2 linked regions of the Ovis aries genome follow. The protein of the gene in region 1 interacts with the protein of each later gene in a pairwise test. Links are inferred from orthologs where the notes say so. Each region holds a gene or a part of one and is shown on either strand. Other genes may lie near its edges.

What was found.
Region 2: the proteins of RBM10 (region 1) and SF3B4 interact in binary tests that used the Homo sapiens proteins (3 or more experiments, as listed by UniProt). The link is inferred for Ovis aries from reciprocal best matches to the Homo sapiens genes RBM10 and SF3B4.

What each region holds. Positions count from the first base shown.
Region 1 is NC_056080.1:57,655,592-57,662,034, reverse strand, and holds the start of RBM10 (RNA-binding protein 10), read left to right. Parts: upstream 1-2,139; 5' UTR 2,140-2,372; coding exon 2,373-2,442; intron 2,443-4,294; coding exon 4,295-4,436; intron 4,437-6,443. Other genes in the region: NDUFB11 (NADH dehydrogenase [ubiquinone] 1 beta subcomplex subunit 11, mitochondrial), read right to left, coding at 1,401-1,607. UniProt on the Homo sapiens protein: Binds to ssRNA containing the consensus sequence 5'-AGGUAA-3'. May be involved in post-transcriptional processing, most probably in mRNA splicing. Binds to RNA homopolymers, with a preference for poly(G) and poly(U) and little for poly(A).
Region 2 is NC_056054.1:100,031,758-100,038,229, reverse strand, and holds SF3B4 (splicing factor 3B subunit 4), read left to right. Parts: upstream 1-2,141; 5' UTR 2,142-2,178; coding exon 2,179-2,212; intron 2,213-2,658; coding exon 2,659-2,787; intron 2,788-3,018; coding exon 3,019-3,561; intron 3,562-3,880; coding exon 3,881-4,087; intron 4,088-5,061; coding exon 5,062-5,235; intron 5,236-5,430; coding exon 5,431-5,618; 3' UTR 5,619-5,844; downstream 5,845-6,472. UniProt on the Homo sapiens protein: Component of the 17S U2 SnRNP complex of the spliceosome, a large ribonucleoprotein complex that removes introns from transcribed pre-mRNAs.

The DNA.
Region 1 (6,443 bases):
TGAACCAATCTCTCCTCCCTCCCTAAATTCCTGTCTGTTCTTAGGACTTGTCAAGCTCCTTGCCACTACAGAGCCTTTGCACTTGCTGTTCCTTCTGTCTGGAAAGCCTTTCCCCCAGATTTAGTCGGGGCTGGATCTGTCTCCTTATTCAAGCTGTCGGCTTCATCTTCATTCCCCTTAGGAGGCACTCCCTAGTCACCTTATCTGTTAAGTTGACCTATAGGAAATTGACATTTTTACAGGTCAAAAATGATTGATATTGGCTATTTCCTATTTCTTCAACCTCATAACTTCCTATCCCTATAACTCTCCATCCACTTATCTTATTTAACTTTCTTTCAAGCATTTATTTGTTTACCAAAGTATCATATCCTTCAAATACTCTGATCACATTATATTATTGGTTGCATACCCTATCTTACTGTTTTCTAATATTTTACATGTTTATTTTCTATATTCTCCAGTACCACATAAGCTCTATGAAAGCAAGGGCTTTATCTGATTTCTATATTGCTGAATTTATAGCACATTGAACTTAGCCTGGCATACAGCAGGCCCTCAATGCATAGCTACAGAATGCATGAATGAGTATCCTATATATCCAAGCCCCTCAACAAGGGGTCAGTATGGATGAAGCATCTATTATATGCCAGGCCTTTTCACAAGCACAAATTGCACAATAACCCACTGAGGTGGAAAGTGGCAAAACAAACAAACAAACAAACTTCTAATGGTGAGTATTTGTACTAAGTGCCAGCTGCCGTTTTGAGCATTTTGACTCATTTAAATACCGGAGGCACATATAGTATTTTATTCTTTTAGAAAATGTCCTAATACTTTCCCTATCTTACAAAGAAACTGAAGCATCAAGGGCTTAAGCTACTTGCCCAAGGTCAATGCCTGTATTCCAACTATGGCATTCTGATTTCAGTCCACTATCAGATAGCACAGCAAACCTAGTTCTGCCACACATTCAGTTATGTGAGCTTAGGCAAGTCACTTAACATCTTTATGCTTCAGTTTCCTCATCTGTAGAATGGGTACACCAAAACCACCTACCTCGAAATATGGTTATTATGAGAACTAAATGAGTTAATGTATGTAAAGTGCTTCAAACACCTGAGCAAGCACCACACCAGTGTTTAGTAACATTGTTATTCTATATTGCTTCAAACGTGCTTTGAACATTGCCCACTTCAGGTTTGATGTCTGTCTGCAAAATAAGGCCAATCTCTGACCCTGAACCCGTACAAAGGAGGAAACAAGCTAGGCAGAATTTCCAAATCTTCGAAGATTTCGCCAGCTGCGCAATTCCCAGCCGACTAAGACCGTCCTCTACGGCGCCCTATCCGCCGGTCCCCGATTGACCCTTCCGGCGTCCCGTTTCCCCTCCCTCTCACCTTCTCATAGAGGTTTTCGTCCTCGGGTTCTGGGTCCTCCTGCCAGCGTAAAGTCGGTTCTGACGGCCGCTTTCCCGCCAGAGTGGACGGGGCGATCACAGCCCTGGAGGAGCTAGATTCCCAGCGAACACTGGCAGCCGGGAGCCCTCGCGTCGCCGCTACTGCCAAAAGGCGGCGGCCGCACAAACCCAACATCCCCGCCGCCATAACAGATCGTTCTGCAAGCTCTCGGGGTCGGGGACGGAAGTGTGACTCCGCGCAGCTGCAGTTGTTCTAAGCGCGAGAGTTGTCGCTCCGCCCCCGCCGCACGAAATAGGTCCCGAATCAGGACTTTGCTTTCGAACGGGTGAGAGGTTCTTTTTGCCTCACTCTGTCATGACTTCAGGGAATCAACCACCCTCTTATCCTCTCAGTCAGACTATGGAACTTCTGACCGCTAGGCTCTGGAATTTACTTAACGAAAAGAAAGCAATGACACATGCGTGGATGTTCCCAACCAATCGCGCGGAGAGCTGCCTCGCCCTCCGGCGAAAGGGGCGGAGCTTCCGTTGGTCTTTCATCTTCGAAGGAAGCCAAGCTTCTAAAACGCCAGCCTCGCCGGATTGGCCAATAGCTGCCGCTTTTCTCGACTTGCGGGCGTTCGCAAGGGGTGGCAATATGCTTGCCAATCAGAATAGGCCAGGGATGACCGAGGGCTGACAGCGACCAATAGACGGGGTTGGCCAGAGCGCGCTCCCTTAGTAGGTGGATGGTGGTCGAAGCGCCGGCTCCTTTCTCATCGTCGCCATTTTGTGTTGGTGATCGCGGCCGGCTGGGAGTAGGCGACAGTGGGTTTCCCGGGGAGGGCAGCGCTCCTGGCGCTTTTCCCCTCCCCTCCTCCGCCCTTTTGCCTCCAGCCTCGGACTTGCTAGTTGCGCGGACCGGCTCGGGCAGAGCTGGAAGAGTTGGAGGAGGTGGCGGCGGGCCGAGGTGATGTCCGGGAGCCCTCCCTTGACAGCCCGGGCGCAGAAGGTGAGAGTCGACGCTGGTCGTGGGGGTGGAGGTAAGGGGCCGGGGGTGGAGGGGGTTGCATAGAGGACCCACGAGGGCGGACTGTGGTCGATGGGTCTGGGCTTCGCGCAGAACCGACCGATGCTTTGCACATTGTGAGCCTGGGAGAGGGTGTCTTTTTTTTATTGTTTTTTGTTTTTCTCCTTTTGAGAGCAGAGGCGCGTGCGCGATTGGGGCACTGGATGGGTGCACGCGGCTTGGGGGAAGGGAGGGACGGATGGGAGTGGGCTCCTATGGCTCACTGTGTCTGCGACGCCGAACTTTTTCCGTGGGAGGCCGCTGTCTGCGACTTTTCTTTTTAGCCGAAAAAGTGTGCTCTCTGCTTTCGTGTGTGACTTTGGTACTAACCAACCCATGGGGAAGTGTTCTGTGGCTCTGGTCCTTATTCTTGGGTGGAGGAGAAGGGAGATCGTCGATCTGACTCGGGTCTCTATCCTCGGAACCTCTGTCTGTAACTCTGGTTATCCATGGGGAAGGGGTCCTTACCCATAGAAAGTCTTATTAGGACTGGCCATAATCCACTTACTGGGTGGGGGAGGAAAGTGCAAGGAAGGTGTGTAAGACTTGACTGCTCCTTTTTTTGGGGGGAGGGGAGGTTCGTATTGGTTACTCTAATGCTTATTCTGTGAAAGGGGGGGCCTGTGTGATTATGACCCGTATTTATTGTGGGTCCCTGTCCGTGGTTTTGGCCTGTAGTTCTTCGGGGCTCTAGCCTGTGACTTGGGTCCCTATCTGTTATGGATGCCTTTGCCAGATATACTGAGGGTTTTGTCTCTGGCTCTCATCCACTGGGTTCCCTGGTTGTGATTCTAAGTCTTACCCATCTGGGAGCAGGTAACTCTCATTCCCTGAGACTTTAGGAGGAAGAGAAAATTGGCAGGAATGTATACATGAAGGAAAGGTGTGGTGGCAACCTAGTGTTGGGCAGGTGCTGTTAACGCCTGGCTTTTGCTTGATTGTTGTTTAGAGGGTGGGGCCTGAAGATTCAGGGATACTTTGTGGTGACCCCTGGCCCGGTCACATGGCTCTCGGCCCTCCTTGGTTCTCACCGCAGCACTGAGGATTGCCATGAAGTGACTGCTCTCCCATTCCAGCAGAATAATACAATGCTTCAAAACAGGCTCCAAAAGGGCTGCTTTTAACCTCTGAAATACTTGGGCCCAGAGCCCTGGGTAGGGAGCCGTCTTGGGGAACCTGGCTGTGCATAAGAGACAGGCTCAGGGCCGAGCCAGTTGCCGAGTGAGGGCCAAAACTGTGTTGGCCCAGAGCCTAGGGAGGCGGCAGCTGTCTCATTGCCAAGTTCGCCCCTTTACCCCCGGAACCTTTCATGGTCTCCTGCTGTCTCATAGTGGGCAGCCAGCATCTTCTTGGGAGGATGAAATGGCACCTGGCAGCTCATGGAAGGAGCCTGGTGGGTGCCTGGGACTCCTGTCATGAAAACTTGCCTCCATGCCTAGTGTGCCCAATCTCAGACAAGTCGTCCAGCACCGAGAGCCCACCCCCACCCCCGGGCAAGTAGCTCCAGGCTTGGTCTACCAGTCTCAGATGGCAAAGCCGTGATCCCAGGATGGGTGGCACCACCAGGTCTCTCTGCAAGATGCTCCGTGCCTGCCGAGGGCTGTGCTATTTCCAGGGTGGCCGGCTCTAGCCTTGCGTTTGTAGGGAAGGGAAGCAGCAGGCCAAATAAGGGCTGCCTTCCTGCTCCAATCCTCAGGAGCCCTAGGAGTTGGGATACAGCGTTGCTGGGCTTGGGGACAGCAGAGAGCTTCGGCACCAAGCGTTTCTCAAGGAGACCCTCTCTGTCACAACTGCCCTGACCTCTTTCTTCCTTCTCCTCTTCCCAGAGTCCCTGCAGGAGGCATCACCCAGGCTGGCAGATCATGGTGGCAGCACTGGGGGTGGCTGGGAAGTGAAACGGAGCCAGCGGCTGAGGAGGGGCCCCAGCAGCCCTCGCAGGCCCTGTCAGGACATGGAGTATGAAAGACGGTGAGTTCCCCTCTAACCCCTACCCTCTCCCAAGCAGCTTAGGTTTGTTCCTGTGTGAGAATCGATCCAGGAAAGTGCTTGGAGGGGGCATCTGGGCAAGAAAAAACCAAACAGTGCCGCAGATGATTGGTTTCTTTTCAGCAAACATGTACTTGGCACTCAAGAGCCAGGACATGTACTGGGCTCTGGGAGTGCATTGATAAACGAGACAAATAAGATTGCAGCCTTCTCCTCACTTAGGGTCTCACAAGGGAGGCCACACAGTTTCTGGTTGATAGGCACCACGTGCAGTTGAAGGGTGGGAAGGGATCAAGAGAAAGGGAGGCATGGAGACTGATGCCCAGGTTTCCACTTTGGATGGATGACCCAGGTAGGTATGGAAGGTATGGACAGCCACCACAGGACAGACAGAGGTGGGTGACAGGTGGGCAGTTGTTGGGTTGTAAGTGCCTGTGGATTCTCAGGGGAGAGGTGTGGGCTATAGCTTTGGGTTTGAGGGATGGATGGAGGAGGGGTTGCCTTCAGAGTCAGAAATTTGCTCAGAAAATGTATGGGGCAAACCAGGTCAGATAGTATTACTCAGCCACGGTCTTTTTAAGATCTGGGATTCGGGGACAGGATGGGGTGAAGTTGGTGTGGACACTCATCCAGTTATTTTTAAACTCTGGGACTAACCAGAAACAGATGGGACACTTGGTAAAATACAGAGATCCTAGATCATACCTTTACCATACTGGTGGATCACCTTACTTGATTCTAATGTAGATGATTCATTCCTGATATTTAAAGATTGTATAGAAAAGTAGACCTAACTGTCCCAGAGAGCCTCTATCAAAAGTCAGTAGATTTATGAAAAAGTCATGGAGGAAATAATTTTTTTATTGCCTTACAAAGTGTTTCTGTTACCACCCCCTTTTGAAACATGTAGAATTATAACATTTTGGTTTCTGAAAAGTGATGAGCCCGAATTTGAGATGTGGTTATCATCAGGTGTTATTCAGCCTTGACCTTTCAAAATGTCTTGTGAAAGGCATTCGATTTTGGATGGTATTCAATAGTAGTGCTGTGTGGCAATTTCTAACTTTGAGTAGGTAGCTTACTTGCCTCAGACTTCACTACAAGGTAAAGCCACTGGCTTTCTTTGGGCTTTTAAAGAACCTCAAGTGCAAGGGTTTGAGTTAATCATACTTTTCCAGTTCAAGGTATGTTTCTGTCACAGGTTGGTACAAGACCGCCTCTTGCCATATTTATTTTTTCCTGTTTTATTTGCAATTCCCATAGCTGTAGGCAGCTGCTCTGTTGTCTTTGAAATGTATCCTTCTAAAATATGTGGTTTTGTTTGGAGTGTTTTCAATTTACACAAATGGCAGAATGTTACAGTTTTCATTCTGTTTCCTGAGCTTTATATTATTCAGCACTGCATTTTAAAGATCTGTCTGTATTGCTACCTATATGTCAGTGCTTTGCTTCTAATTGGTCCCAAGGACACCATGGGGTGTGTCTGCTGCCTCTTATTTAATAATTCTCTCAAGGGTGGATATCTGTTCTTACATTTGGTGTGCTAAAACTCATCACTTTTTTTCTTAAAATCTGTCCTTTGAAAAATCTTCTCTATTCCTGTCTCTGGATCCCTAACTTTATTTACCTTTTGCATTCAGGTCTTTAAATCCATCTAGAGTCCACTTTTAAATATGTTATAATGTAGGTTCTGGTTTTATTTTCCTCCATATAGTAGGCAGTATTCCTAGTATCACCCCCAAAATAGGTCATTCTTTCTTTATTGATTTGTGGTACCTCATCTCATCTCAAGTTCCCTCATGTACATGGATCTGTCTTGAGTGGTCTGATTTGTTGCATTGGTCTTTTTGCTATTCTTTTGCAGAACCTTAGCGTTCTGTGGCCTTATAGAATGTCTTAATAGTGCCTACTCTGCTCTTATTTTTCGAAGTTGACTTAGTCATTTTGTAGCTTTATGTAAAAAGTTATCAAGTCTTTCAAAAAGTTCAA
Region 2 (6,472 bases), on another chromosome or scaffold:
ATGACCCAGTTTGGGGAAACTGGGGGTCATCAGGTTTCTAAGTTGCCAGTTGATTTCCTGTTCCTCCTTAGCCAAGCTTCATGGTTCCTGGGCCCCCCAGTTCCGTGTGGCTCTTCTCTAGAGGGGCCCTGACACCCCTGAATCAACTCTGTCCTTGGCGGGACAGTCCCTCCCTGCTGGCAGTCTCCTCTCGTTGGCTCCCTCGACCTGCTATCTCTTCTGAAAGCCTGGCTGATCAGGAGTGGGGGCTCCCCTCACACTGGGGAGCTTGCCCTTTACCCCCGGGACTGCTGCTGCCTGGATGTCTGGGACCCCAGATCAGGCTCTGGAGACGCTGCTACCTGAGGGGAAGGCCTGAGGTCCAGGTGAGAAGGGAAGGCAAAAATTGGGAGTGGGAGAAGGGGTCTGACTTTTGAACCAGATGTTCTAGGAGAAACCAGATGTTTCCAGGAGCAGAAGGGCAAGGGTTTGGGGGACTGGGAAGTTAGATACCATTCCTATTGGTATCAAAGCGGATAGATTTGGGAGTGTGGGAAAACTGCTTCTGGCTTATATCAAGTGGAACCTAGGGGATAGCTGGAGGAGGAAAGGGAACTAAGAGAATTAAGGATCCTCTCTGCCTCTCTTCACCCTCTTCCCAGATGGGCCTCTCAGCTCCCACAATCTCTGGTCTCCAGGAGGAGCTATCCCATCTTCAAGAGTTATTAAGGAAATGGACACCACGAATATCTCCCGAGGATCACTCCAAGAAAAGAAACCCAAATACCATTCTCTCCCAATCCCGTTGAAATTGCTGGCTTTCTCATGGGCAGGGCAGAGGGTGGTCTGGGGTGAGGGAGAGTTTTGTCTAATCCTTCGGTTTTTCTTATCTGGTCTTGCTGCCTCAGCTTTCATAAACAAGATCACTGACCTGAGTTTCTATTGAGGATGAGTGGTGCTAACCTTATCCAACTCTTATCCTGCCTTGTTTGGTTTAAACAGTTCTTATCATTTGAAGAATTAAGAAACAACAACAATCCAGAAGACTGCCTCTCTTTTTCAGGGCAATTCCATGTCTTTGGGATGGAAATTTTGGATATTGCGCTGGTAAATTGTGATAATCAGATATACTGTTTATCAGTGCCAACAAGATGGCCTACAGACCTCCTTCTCACCTCCTCTTGCTGCTTAATTCCAATTTCTATTTCTTCCCTTATAGTTTTCTATGGGTATGGAATATACACAGGACACCCTATCTCTTCCAATTATATATTTTCATTGTGACATTTCTATTTAAGGAGTTCATTAAAGCACAATATTTATACACGCCGCTGGCATTGTTTGTGTCTGATTAAAGGAACCTTAGGTAAGGGAGTGGTGGGAGAGGAGGGAAAGGAATGTGACCCACGAAGGGACGGTACCGACCATATTACTGCTAAGGAAGTAAGGGGCTGGGCTGCGTGAGGCGCTGCAGGATTCACAATTTAAGGTCCTCTCTTCCGTGTAGACAGGGCAAAGGCACGCCCAGAGGTTGCTGGAGTTCAGGGTGTGCTCTGAAGGCCTCGGCCTCGGCCTCGGCCTCGGCCTCTGGGCTTCAGTATCAAACCCCCGTAAACTTCGGTACCACCCCACCTCCGAACCTCAGGTTCCCCTCCTATGCAGTGACTAGGCGAGCTCAGACATTCCACAATTCCTTCCCTGAGGAAAAAGGAAATACCTCAAGCTCAGGCCTGGGCTGTGAGGCCGCGTCTGTTCAAGGACTGCGGGTTGGGATGGACGGTTCTCCCCACGCCTTGCGTTGAGCGGTTCCTCTGTACACCCTTCTAAGGGGGAAAAAAAGGCTACAAAACACATGAAAACTAAAGTTTTGTTCTCCCAGCTTCTGAAGTGACAGTTTCGGGAGCAGTGTGACCCTTTAACTTCTAGCACTGCCTTAAAAGAGACAGAACGTTTCCTTTTCACTTTCCCCGCCGCGTCCGCTCATAGTAGCACTTCTGCACGGGAGCGTGGACCGAAGCGCACCGCTACTTCAGCCGCTTCCAGTCTCAGCGTCTCCTAAGATGGCCGAGGCCGCTTCCGGCTCCTCCCCTGCCGCGGCCCCGCCCACCACCTCACGTCAGCCTTCGCCTCGGAAGCGGAAGTAGTGACTGAGGTCAGGGGGCGGGATCGCTGCCTGGAGACGGCGGGAGCGCTTTCGCCATGGCTGCCGGGCCGATCTCCGAGCGAAACCAGGGTGACTGGAGGGGACAGACCCAGAATGGACTCTGGGGGTTTGAGGGACCTCGACTAGGCCCAGCAATGTTTCCGCTGGGGCGGGAGATTTTGCCTTTCCGAAGGGCGCCAGACTGGTCCCGATGCCTTATGGGGACGGGATGGACAGACTTGAGGCCTATAGTTGTGATGCTGTGTCCAGTCCTCTGCTGCCTTCCCACTCAAAAAAAAAAAAAAGAAAAAGAAAAGTTACAGAGTGAACTTGCACCGTCACTCTAAATTAGACATAAGATTGTCTATTTTCTGGAAAGGAGGAGCTTCTAAAAGCTTAATCTAACATCTTTTTGTTTTTTCGCTTTTCTACCCCATCTCCACGTCCACTTCCTCCGCCTGGGTTCCATCTTCATGTTCCCGTTACCTCCCTATTTCCCCTCATCTCTGTCCTTACCTCTTAATCCTGTCTTCCAGATGCCACTGTGTACGTGGGGGGCCTCGATGAGAAGGTTAGCGAACCACTGCTGTGGGAACTATTTCTCCAGGCAGGACCAGTAGTGAACACGCACATGCCAAAGGATAGAGTCACTGGTCAGCACCAAGGTGAGTACACGGCAAAAAGTACAGTTATCTATGAAAGGGACAGACTGCTCCTGGAGGTCTCCAGTGATATTAAGTTTTGGAGTGAGCAAACTAAAGATTTTGTTTCTGGAACCATTCTCAATTGAAGTTGGGATTATTATTTCTTATCCTTTGTGCTTTAGAAGACAAATGAGTTATAAACTCGTTTTTAAATCACTTCAGTTGCTAACCTCTTCTTTTCCACTTCCCCAGGCTATGGCTTTGTGGAATTCTTGAGTGAGGAAGATGCTGACTATGCCATTAAGATCATGAACATGATCAAACTCTATGGGAAGCCAATACGGGTGAACAAGGCATCAGCTCACAACAAAAACCTGGATGTGGGGGCCAACATTTTTATTGGGAACCTGGACCCGGAGATTGATGAGAAGTTGCTTTATGATACTTTTAGCGCCTTTGGGGTCATCTTACAAACCCCCAAGATTATGCGGGACCCTGACACAGGCAACTCCAAAGGTTATGCCTTTATTAATTTTGCTTCATTTGATGCTTCGGATGCAGCGATTGAGGCCATGAATGGGCAGTACCTCTGTAACCGCCCAATCACTGTGTCCTACGCATTCAAGAAGGACTCCAAGGGTGAGCGCCATGGCTCAGCCGCTGAAAGACTTCTGGCAGCACAGAACCCACTCTCCCAGGCTGACCGCCCTCATCAGCTATTTGCAGATGCACCCCCTCCACCATCTGCTCCCAATCCTGTGGTATCATCATTGGGATCTGGGCTTCCTCCACCAGGTAAAGCTTTTGATAAAAAATGTTTGTGTTGGGTTGGGAAGGGTGGGGCCAGGAAGAAGGAAAAATAACCTGGCAAGGAGAGGACATTGAGTCATTAGGTGATGAGAAAGGGGTTGAGGGATGATGATTGTGGTGGGAAGAAAGTTGTTGAGTTTTCTCCAGAAGGTTGTTGTTCAAGTCACTTAATGTTGCCGCTGACTTCAGAGAGCTGGGAGGAGGGGAAAAGAGCTCATTCGGCCTGGAGAGGCCAGGGTGGAACAGGCTCTCTAAAGGCACTCTCTGCTCACTATCATTAACTGTTTTTCCATTTTCTCTATAGGCATGCCTCCTCCTGGCTCCTTCCCACCTCCAGTACCACCTCCTGGAGCCCTTCCTCCTGGGATACCCCCAGCCATGCCACCACCACCTATGCCTCCTGGGGCTGGAGGACATGGTCCCCCATCAGCGGGAACCCCAGGGGCTGGACATCCTGGACACGGACACTCACATCCTCACCCATTCCCACCTGGTGGGATGCCCCATCCAGGTGAGCGTTCTTTGCTGGGAAGGAGAGGGATGAGCTTGATGGAGGAGCTCTGTCAGCACTTAATGCTGCTGTTCTTTGTCCTTTAACAATAATAGATAGTGCCCAAGCTCTCCTTTCTTTCAGACATTCTTTTAGGAAAAAAATGCAAGATACTTTACCGTTTATTTTAACAACCATCATGCTGTCTTCATTTCTTGTTTAAGTTTTACCAAAGAGAACAACAGGCTCTCTGCATTGGTTCTTTACCACTAGCGCCACCTGGGAAGCCCAGGCTCTCCTATCCTCATTATTTCACACCTAATTTATTTTAGTAATACCCTAACTGACACTTTGACTCTAATTATCTCTACTTTGATTGACTATCTCAGAGTAATTTTTCTTAAATACAGATATTCACACACCTTTGCTCAAAATTCTTCTGGTTGTTCCTTTTTACTTACAGAGTGAAACCCAAACTCGCTATCATAGCATTCTAGGCTTTGCATAATCTGGCTCCTGCCTGTTACTCCCATGACTACAAGCTGTTCTACTGGGTTTCCTTTAACATACTGTGCTGTTGATCACATCCATGCTTTGCACCTGCTGATTTTTTTCTGCCTGGAATGTTCTTTTCCCACTCTGTTGTCCACCTGAAAAATTCCTGTTCATCCTTTAGAATTAGATCTTTGCTGTGACAGTGTCTCTGTTATCTTCCCAGATTCTATTCAGTAGAATAATCACGCCATTCTGCAGCACTGTTACAATGCCTAAATCATGGAAGGAGCAAATGGGCTTCAGGGACTGGGGAGCTGTAGGGTAGTTGGTTGATTTATTCTCTTGGGATGGAGTCAAAGATAAGGGCACTTTTTACCAGCTTTAATTTCTGTATTCTATCTGATGTCACTTTCTTCATTTTCTTCTCTGTCTTCTTTGCCCTCCTGTCTTCTAACTTCCTTTTGTCTCATTTCTCACTGTGTCTTGTTTTGTTCTCATAGGGATGTCTCAGATGCAGCTGGCCCACCATGGCCCTCATGGCTTAGGGCACCCCCACGCTGGGCCGCCTGGCTCTGGGGGGCAGCCACCACCCCGACCACCACCTGGAATGCCTCATCCTGGACCTCCTCCAATGGGCATGCCCCCCCGAGGGCCTCCGTTTGGCTCTCCTATGGGTGAGTAGTCTTTAGCCACCTCCCTCATCCTCACATATTGTTCTTGCAGCTTGTTTTGTCACACCTCTTATCCCCTGCACTTTCTTTTCTTCTCTTTCTTTTCACTATCTCCCAGTGTATCCTCTCCTTACATTGTCCCAATATGAACTGTCTCCTATTCCTTGTTTTTACTTTGTTTTCCTTTTTTACCTGCAGGTCACCCAGGTCCTATGCCTCCGCATGGTATGCGTGGACCTCCTCCACTGATGCCTCCTCATGGATACACTGGCCCTCCACGACCTCCACCCTACGGCTACCAGCGGGGGCCCCTCCCTCCACCCAGACCTACTCCCCGACCTCCAGTGCCCCCTCGAGGCCCACTTCGAGGCCCTCTCCCTCAGTGATTTCTCATTGTTTTTCCTCCTGTTGTAGCCTCCCAATATCTATTCACTTCCTTGGACCAATCAGAGTTGCTATAGCTCCGAGGGGCTAAGGCACTAATCCCTCTCAGGCCTTTCTTTTGTAAGTGTAATTTTTTCACAGGAGGCTGTATTTTATTTTATTTTTTCCTATGTTGGCCCTAAGTGTTTTACAAATACCCAGAGAAAATTAAACTAAACTCCTTGTTTATCGTTTGTGGTGCTTAACTTGACAGAATAACTTCTTTTTCTCTGAGAAGAGATGTCCGTATATTGGGAGAAGAACGGTAAGGTAGGAGTGAGGGTGTTTATTCCAAGTTTTAAAGACTTACTCTATAATGTGCTATTGCAAATGCTGGACTGCTGTGTACTGCAGCACTTGATTCATTACATCAAAGTTATACATAAGATGAAGACCCAGTATCTACGGCATAGTTGTTGTGAGTACTAAGTTAGAATAGAAGTAAAGTTCCTAGAAATAAGATGGCAAAAATAGGAAGTAACATGCACAAAGCTATTCATTGCAGCACTATTTGCAATAACAGATTGGAAACAACTCTCATATCAGTCAGTAGGGGACTGGTTGAATAAACTGGTAAATCTATACAGTAGGATACTAAGCATCAGTAAAAAGGAATGAGGGAGACTCTACACACTGATTGGAGAGATCACGAGGCTATATTAAGTGAAGAAAGTAGCATGTAGAACAGAAGGCATAATGTGCTTTCTTATCTAAAGGGTGACACATAATGTATGTTGTACATTTGTCTCTATTTTAAAAATGAAAGGATAGGGCTTCCCTGGAGCTCCAGAGGTTATCTGCTTCTACTGCAAGGGCC